Linked DNA regions of Arabidopsis thaliana. The protein of the gene in region 1 purifies or fractionates together with the protein of each later gene. This does not show direct contact. Each region holds a gene or a part of one and is shown on either strand. Other genes may lie near its edges.

Evidence for each region.
Region 2: the proteins of PGRL1B (region 1) and PSAG fractionate together in Arabidopsis thaliana (co-fractionation; one large-scale study listed by BioGRID). This does not show direct contact.

The regions. Positions count from the first base shown.
Region 1 is NC_003075.7:7,174,210-7,179,834, reverse strand, and holds PGRL1B (PGR5-like B), read left to right. Parts: upstream 1-1,946; 5' UTR 1,947-2,125; coding exon 2,126-2,291; intron 2,292-2,661; coding exon of another isoform or gene 2,662-2,707; intron 2,708-2,789; coding exon 2,790-2,902; intron 2,903-2,989; coding exon 2,990-3,086; intron 3,087-3,174; coding exon 3,175-3,275; intron 3,276-3,379; coding exon 3,380-3,436; intron 3,437-3,562; coding exon 3,563-3,639; intron 3,640-3,740; coding exon 3,741-3,792; intron 3,793-3,898; coding exon 3,899-4,009; intron 4,010-4,242; coding exon 4,243-4,340; intron 4,341-4,425; coding exon 4,426-4,495; 3' UTR 4,496-4,509; intron 4,510-4,597; 3' UTR 4,598-4,949; downstream 4,950-5,625. Other genes in the region: AT4G11950 (transmembrane protein, putative (DUF1191)), read left to right, coding at 5,576-5,625. UniProt on the Arabidopsis thaliana protein: Ferredoxin-plastoquinone reductase involved in cyclic electron flow (CEF) around photosystem I. The homodimer is probably not involved in CEF.
Region 2 is NC_003070.9:20,801,959-20,805,185, reverse strand, and holds PSAG (photosystem I subunit G), read left to right. Parts: upstream 1-1,736; 5' UTR 1,737-1,804; coding exon of another isoform or gene 1,805-1,829; coding exon 1,830-2,312; 3' UTR 2,313-2,516; downstream 2,517-3,227. Other genes in the region: AT1G55680 (Transducin/WD40 repeat-like superfamily protein), read left to right, coding at 1-198; AT1G55675 (uncharacterized protein), read left to right, coding at 1,006-1,332; AT1G55673 (uncharacterized protein), read right to left, coding at 1,805-2,215; AT1G55660 (FBD, F-box and Leucine Rich Repeat domains containing protein), read right to left, coding at 2,846-3,133, 3,215-3,227. UniProt on the Arabidopsis thaliana protein: Not yet known.

The DNA.
Region 1 (5,625 bases):
TTATATTTGGTTAGTTCACCAAATAAAATCTCAAATTCATCGAGTACATCCAAGATTTGGGGAGATTTATGTTGATTAGTCCATTTAAAGTAAAAAAAAAATGTTAGTCTATTCTGACAAACTATTAATGTTAGTAGATGAATAATCATGCTATGCATGAGTTGTTGTTTTGAAAATTGTTAAAAATATGTTGTATGTTCTTTGTTGCTAGTTTGTGTAGTTACATAAATATTTAGATTCATCTTATATAGTTACAATTTTTATGCTTTGATTCATCTTTTGACGTAAAATATCAAGTATATATTTTTCATGTGTAATATAATTATCTATATACATAAGATCTTAATCTTTTTTTTGCTATCATAAATACATAGAATAACAATATAAGATATATTGATATAATAGTTGTAATTATAATTGAGTTATACATTAGCATGATTTTGTATTTTTCAATTTTTTTGAAGAAATAAGTTAATAGTATTGATGGAAGATTTAATGATGTGGAGGACTTTTGATTTTCTTAACTTAATTTTGCTAAAATTTTTATTGAATAATATAAAAACACATGTAATTTTCTTGTATGATAATGTGACATTCATATGGAGAGAGTTAACCAACTTTCATATATATATTTTTTTCGATTCAAAGTAATTCTATGACATAAATTTTGTGAATTATTTGTGCATTATAAACTTAAAAATTTATTTGGTTATTTACATGGGACACCCGTGTATCGAAAAGTAGAGAGAAGATTGAACAAAAAAGCTAACAAACTTTATTTATCTCAACAAAATATTGTTACAAGCGTTAGTTAGAACTGTGTATCATTAAGCTTATATATATTTGAACTTAAGCTCACTTAATCAAAGTTAACCAAATATTAAACCAACATTAAACCAGCGAACCATACATCATAATACGCCTCTCTCAAGTCTTTATCTTCGAAGTGTCTGGTTTCCGAAGATAAAAACATCTTCTTGAGTAAATGATGAAATGACCCCGGATGTAGTGGCTTTGTGAAGTACAACTATCCACAATTTTCATTTATAATATCTAATGAGAGCATATCCGACAATGTTATAAACATTTTCTATCGATTTGTTAGTGGTTTACAAACCACCAATGACAATTTATTTCATGATAGATTCATTGTGTTTTAACTTATGGACAACCAGCATCACAATGATTGTTTTTGTCTATGGTTTGAGTCACAAGTCCGATTCATAATTGTTTGTAAATAAATATTTTTTTGTTGACTAATAAATATTATATTACAACTTTTTCTTGCAAATTACTAAAACTCAAGATTCTTTTTCATTTTTTCAAACATATATATATATATATATATATATATATATATATATTACAACAAAATTCTCTTATAAATTATTAAAATTCAAATTTTTTTATCGCAATTAGTTCCTTAAGAGAACTTATAAATAAATTAAGTCTTACATACAAAATATGTTTTCAAAAGAGTACAATGTGTTTGTTGGTTTTGCTTTCGTGCAATATCATGAAATATGTTTATGGTTTCTTAATTATTTATACCAATAGGTGATTCACCACATGATGATGCATATGTACAATTTATCTATTATAATGAGTTTACTATCTTGACTCCCACAAATCAAAACCCTTATTTTTCTTTACCGTTGTCCGTTGAGATGATAAAATAATAAACTAAAAATGATTGTACATATTTTTGTTATGATTTGAGTTAGAGTTTTTTTTTTTCGTTTATTTCAATTCTACGTAAAAAAAATTATATAAAGAATTCATTTTATTTGTGACTAATAATATCTAAATATTATAATACAATATTTGTTTTTGGTAATTTACCAAAATTCAAGATTTTATTCTTATTTTTTTCAAAATCATGACGTGGAACGCTAGACGATCCAACTTCGCTTATCTCCTCCTAATTTTCCCTCCAATTACACGTTGAAACAAAACAAAACAAAAAAATCAGAAGGAACCTGAAACTATCTCACACAGTAAAAAACATCACCATCTCAATTCTCAACCACACAAATCCAAAGCTTCTAACTTTTTTTTTTGTTCTTCGTCCCGGACAAGAGAAAACAACGATCTCACTCAATCATCGGCGTGAGGGATAAAGACGATGGCTTTTACTCTAACAATCCCTAGATTTTCTGCAATTTCTCGCAAACCCATCACTTGTTCTTCTTCGAGGACACAGTGTCCTGCTCCCTTTACCCATGGACGATCGATTTCTCTCAGACGAAGACTTACCTTATTGCCCCTTAAAGCTTCTACTGATCAATCAGGTCTCGATTTTTATTTGCCTCTTTAAAGTTTCGATTTTTTTATTTGTTTTTGCCTCTGATCTTTCTTTGGGAACGAAATTGGTGTGAAAAGTTGAGATTTTTATGATCATAGAAGATAATTAGATAAATGATTTCCAATTTGTAGCCTTTTTAGGATTAAAATTTGTGTGTAGCTTAAGGTTCTTAAGTTATTAACTCATCGTTATGTGATCGAAACAAAAAAGCACTCAATCTTCAAATTTAGTTGAGAAAAGCTGTTGTATTGTAGCTTTGATTTTGTCTCTGATCATTGTTTGGGAACACAGTGGCTTTTGAGAAAGTTTTGATTTTATTCAATCATAGAATAAAATCACTCAAGCTTTAATTCTAGTTAAGAAAAGTTGTTATATGGAACTTTTTTCCTCTGTGGATTTTTAGTTTTTATACTCTAATCCACTAAAAGATTGCTCCTTGAGAGTTTCCTTACTTCTTAAAATCATTTTTATGACTTGTCTTCAGGTCAGGTGGGTGGGGAAGAAGTTGATAGCAAGATTTTACCTTATTGTAGCATCAACAAGAATGAGAAGAGAACTATCGGTGAAATGGAACAAGAGTTCCTCCAAGCGATGCAAGTAACACATCAAATAAAGTGTTTTTATCATTAGTATGGGTTTATCTCTATATAATCGAGGATTGTTTCTGTTTCTTTTCTTTTGCAGTCGTTTTATTACGAAGGCAAAGCGATTATGTCTAATGAAGAGTTTGATAACCTTAAAGAAGAGTTGATGTGGGAAGGAAGCAGTGTTGTCATGCTAAGTAATGAACACTTATGATTTATAGTTTTGTCAATAATCCATTCGCCTAGGTTCTTGATTCTTGATCTAATTTTATCTATGTATTGTAGGTTCTGATGAACAAAGATTCCTTGAAGCTTCAATGGCTTATGTCTCTGGAAATCCAATCTTGAGTGATGAAGAGTATGATAAGCTCAAAATGAAACTAAAGGTTCTTAATCTATTTATACTTACAAATACTATTTCTTAGTTTCATCCATCTTGTTACATGTGTAATTTGGACAAACGTTATGATTGTTTCTTTGGTTTCTGTAGATGGACGGCAGTGAGATTGTGTGTGAGGGTCCAAGATGCAGTCTTCGTAGTAAAAAGGTAAAAACTCTTAATTGTTCGGATAGCTCATATATTCTTTGGACATTACAGAACATAACATTAGATTCATTGTTTGGGACAAACTCTAGAGATGTTATAGACTTGTGGACCTCCTTGATTATGCAGGTTTATAGTGATCTTGCCATTGATTACTTCAAAATGTTCTTGTTGAATGTACCAGCAACTGTTGTTGCTCTCGGACTGTGAGTACCTCCGGTTCTGTTCCTCTCTCAACTTTCAAATCACATGATCTTAGCTTATGTTAGTTAGTTTAAAATTGTTGTTTTCTTCAATTGTTCTCCAGATTTTTCTTTCTTGATGACATTACTGGTTTTGAAATCACGTACCTGCTCGAGGTAAAACCTCTTTCGACTATTCTACTATGGTTTGGAGAATATATACTCGTAGTAATTGTTCCAGTATTCATGCAACTGATTAAAAAACAAAAACAAAAATCTGCAGCTTCCGGAACCATTCAGTTTCATTTTCACATGGTTCGCTGCGGTGCCTGCAATTGTATATCTGGCGTTATCACTCACCAAACTGATCCTCAAAGACTTCTTGATCTTGAAGGTAAAAACATTAATCATCTTCCAAGATCAGTTCATGAAGTGGAAAAATAAAAGTTATAGAACTAAATCTTGTTTTCTCAGTATCAAAAATGCTTAAACAAGAGATTAGACTTGAGATAATAATCTATTTTGTGCTAAACGCTACAAATTTGGATTGGTATAGTGCCAAATCCTACGAGTTTTATGCGATTATTATGAAATGCTTTTAATTTTCGTGGAACATATCTTTCACAGGGCCCTTGCCCAAACTGTGGAACAGAGAATGTATCTTTCTTTGGAACGATACTATCCATCCCCAATGATAGTAACACCAACAATGTCAAATGCTCAGGGTAAGCTTCTCAGCTGTAGACTCGAATCGATCACACAAATTGTCTACAACGTTTCTTGAAGTCTTATGATTCTTCTGGTTTTTAGCTGTGGAACGGAGATGGTCTATGACTCAGGTTCTCGTTTGATCACATTACCAGAAGGAGGGAAAGCTTAAATCTAAGAGCCAAGGTTTAATTCTTATCTCAACTTTGATTTCTGATGAAATCTTTCTTGATTCAATGGAAAATTCAAAATTTTAGGGTTTTCTTTTTCTCAGGGTTATGTAGAAGTGTATGTAAAATTAATACTAACAAATGAAGAAGGTGGAGAAATTGAAGAAGAAGGAGAAAAACCAAAGTTTGTATGCTGTTTTGTATAATCTTCAGATCTTTTCATGTAGCTCTCATTGGCTTGTGTTGTGTTTGTAAGTAAGTGTGAGGCACATTCAAAGAAAAACATCATATGATTACTTCTTTGAGAAACTTTGCTCTCATTAGGAAAGTAAAATAATTCAAGAAATAAGCACAACCTTGTGTAGTTTTGAAATAATACTTGTATTTTTTTTGTTGTTATAATTTTGAATGTGTTCCATAATATAGTTTCGTTAATCCATGTGAAAATCAAATATGATGTTCTAAATCATTTATAGGTGCTAGTCAAGGCCAGTCCAAGACTTTTTGACTTTTGTGATTCTATAGTTCATTTTAGTATGATTTCTATTAAGAAGCTGATAGATAGATAAAAGTGGGGAACATGTAATAAGAGTTAAGGATTATTACAAAGGAAAAAGTCATACAAATATTATAGCATGCCAAATTCTATCTTTTTAATAAGAAAAAGGTGCAATGATGATGATGACATCGTCGTCGTCCCATGCCCTCTATATCATCATTTACCTTCCTTTTTTTTCTCACCGTTTAGACATTTCTAAATGTATCATTTTAGGATCGAAAGAATATAAGCAATTTACAAGACTACAAAGTGTGTATAAAGTAAAATGTCACGAGGCTAGAAGAAAGTAGGATAGTATTCTAAGCATTATAAAACATCGGTCATGCTTATTCATTATTATGTCTTAAGGATTAATAAAAGATACATAGTATATACTATATACTGATCATGTCTGTCCCCAAAACACATGCCAACAAAGTAAAACACAATCAATATACTTCTCTCTCTCTTTCTTCTTGATCACTTCTCTCTGCAAAACCTAACTACTTCTTCATTCATCTTAGAATCATTGGGTCCTCTTCACATGGGCTCTATACCATTTATCTTCATCATCCTTCTTTTTCATGTACATAA
Region 2 (3,227 bases), on another chromosome or scaffold:
GCTGACTTTGTCCATGTGTATGATGTCTCAAACGGGTATGAAACGGAGCAAGAGATCGACTTCTTTGGGGAGATCTCGGGAATATCATTTAGCCCCGACACAGAAGCACTCTTCATAGGCGTTTGGGACCGCACTTACGGAAGTCTAATTGAGTATAGCCGGCGCCACAACTACTCCTACCTTGATTCATTTCTATGATCACCCGACATACCAGAGGAATAAAAGAGCCGATACATATGTGCTGCTGCACTCTCCTGTCGCTCTGTTAAACTAAGAAACCCGAGAAAAGAGAAAACATAAACTCAAGTCGATCTCTAATGGTGTAAATGATGTGTTGTGCAAGTACTAGTAGGAATGTTGTCACAGAGAGCGGATTTAGTTAGTTAATGTTCATTTCTTGTATGAGTGTTGGAGTTCGTGTATTGTACATAAGTATATGAGGTTCGGGTGAGTTTGCATCAAGTCTCAACTCTTGGCAAAGAGACAACTTTACTCGAGTCTGTGGCTCGTTATTTGGCTATGGTCACTTGTAGAGGAACTCAATTTGAGATGTTTCTGCCGATTGTTGGATCAAATTATATATCATGATGTTTCATAATATTTCTGTTTCCTAGACTATTAAAGTGTATCAATGGTAAGTTTCTCTCTCTCTTCTCTCTTTAATATCTTTTAGAGAAAGCTAAACTTTCCGATCAAACCTTTGCCTTCTGGTTTGATTCGAAGGCTCATGTTCCTCACATAGTGGGCTCGTGTCTGGCATCTCTGACTACTTTAGCGGAGTTGGCTAGCTTTCTTCTGACAGCGATGGCTTCCTTAGCGTCGTCTTGGTCGGCACCACTCCGGAAGCAGTAGCTTACATAGTATCGTCTTGACCGGATTTCGGGTTTGTCTCCGCCGTTGTTATGTTTTTCTTCCAGTTGTTTATTTACTTACAATAAATTTTATTAGGGATGTGTTGATAATATCGATTGAAGCGAATTATCGCTTAATGAAGTGTATTATTCGATGCTTTTACTTTTGAGTTTGCAATTACAGGAATTGATTCATAGCTTTTCAATGAATTATGGACTCTTATTGGCTTTGATCAATTTTTGTAAAATCTGTGCCGCTGTGTTTTTGGAATTCGGGAATCAATTGTCTTTTGGAAGATCCTTTCTTTGCAAATTTGATGATGATGTTTGTTGGGATTCTCTAATTAAAAACCGATGGACTTCTGTGTTTAAAGTTCTAGCTGTTTCCGGTGGCTTTGGAGTTTTCCGGTTGTTGCTGAACAGATCGGCGATGAACGGTGACGAAGAATCATCTATCCACGTCTTCAACTTTATTTGTTAGCATTCCACGTGGCTTTGCAGTCGGGAATTATTTAGCTTACTTCCTTAAAGGATTATGTTTCTCGATTGGGCTTTTCTCGTTGGGCCTATGGTTATAAGTTTGTTGGTTTTAGTTTCATATGTATCAAGACCTGTAATATTGAGTTTTTACAACACAAGTTATAAATAAAATACAAACACTTTATGAGAAAAAAGACTATTAAAGTGTAGATTATGGACTAAATCTTTTAAAAAAAAGATAGTAGGTTCTTCAAAGTGTATCCTACTAAATTACAAGGGTTTGAACGCAAATATTTCTTTGAAAATCTCATAATCCAGAAAGAACCAACGAGAGAATGCCACATCATCCATCCGTAATCGTATCCTCACAAACAAAATCTTCTTCTGCTTCTTCTCCTGCTTGCCAGAATCCAAAACCAAACCTTCAGATCATAAATCCAAAACCACTCATTTTTCTATTACTGAAATTTTTCTTAGAGAAGAAGAAGAAGAAGCAAAATGGCCACAAGCGCATCAGCTTTGCTCTCACCAACCACATTCTCCACTGCAATCTCCCACAAAAACCCTAACTCCATCTCATTCCATGGCCTTCGTCCCCTCCGTCTAGGTGGCTCCTCCTCCGCCCTACCCAAACTATCAACCACCGGGAGAAAATCCTCCTCCGCTGTCGTGAGAGCTGAGCTAAGCCCTTCCATCGTCATAAGTCTCAGCACAGGTCTCTCCCTCTTCCTCGGCCGTTTCGTCTTCTTCAACTTCCAGAGAGAGAACGTAGCAAAACAGGGCTTACCGGAGCAGAACGGAAAAACCCATTTCGAAGCTGGAGATGATCGTGCTAAGGAGTACGTCAGTCTCTTGAAATCGAACGATCCAATTGGATTCAACATTGTTGATGTTCTTGCTTGGGGTTCTATTGGACACATCGTTGCTTACTACATCTTGGCTACTTCCAGCAATGGATACGACCCAAGCTTCTTTGGATGATTCGTTTCAATGTCAATCTCTCGTATATGTATATGTATATGTTTGACTTGTGTTGCAAGCTATCTAATCTGTTCTCTATCTCTGTTTCTTCTTCTGTTGTTGTTGTTGTTGTCTAAGACTTGTCCCTCTTTTTGCAAATGTTTTATTTCTCCATTTACAAAGATTGGTTTGCAGAGTTTTATAAGAAGAACATAATAGTATATACACTATGGAAACAGAGAGATGAAATCACATTTTTACTTGCGCTCAAGATTTCGATTTAGTTTGAGCTAATGTTCGTATGAAAAACTTAGGTGATTTGGTGAAGCTAGTTTCATACCTAAGAGAGAGTCTAGATGTAAGATCTCAGAAAGATAAAGCCAATGTCTCAACAAAAACAGTATGCTCAAAGATAAAGTATACAAAAAGAAAACCAAAAACAAAGACATAAACCTTAAGTTTAGATCAAGTTACGGCTGCAAATAAAAAACCATTGTAATAAAGGAGGGTAGTGTCTATGGAAATGAAAGTTTGAATCCTTATGATTCACATCCTCAATGGAAGAAGACTTGGCATGTTTCTGGACCTTGAAAAGAAAGTGACAACTCCTCGATCATCTCATCTCTTGTTTCTTGAGCATATGTTGTCGGAAAAAAGATTGTCGCAGACTTTAAGCAGCGAGCATTTTTCAAGATATATTTAGCTACATCCATCTGGTTCTGCAGCAATCCATGCATCTCACTCCAACGGAACGTTTCGAGACTGGACAACAAACATGTAGGAACACAATTCAGCTGATTGTCCCACTGATTTGGTAGATCCGTACGCCCATTTGGATGATCCTGTGATCAAACATGAGAAGTTTGGCTTAAACATTATAGTTAATTGAACCAAGAGTATAGGTCTCTAAGGAACAAACTTACTTCTATCACGTAA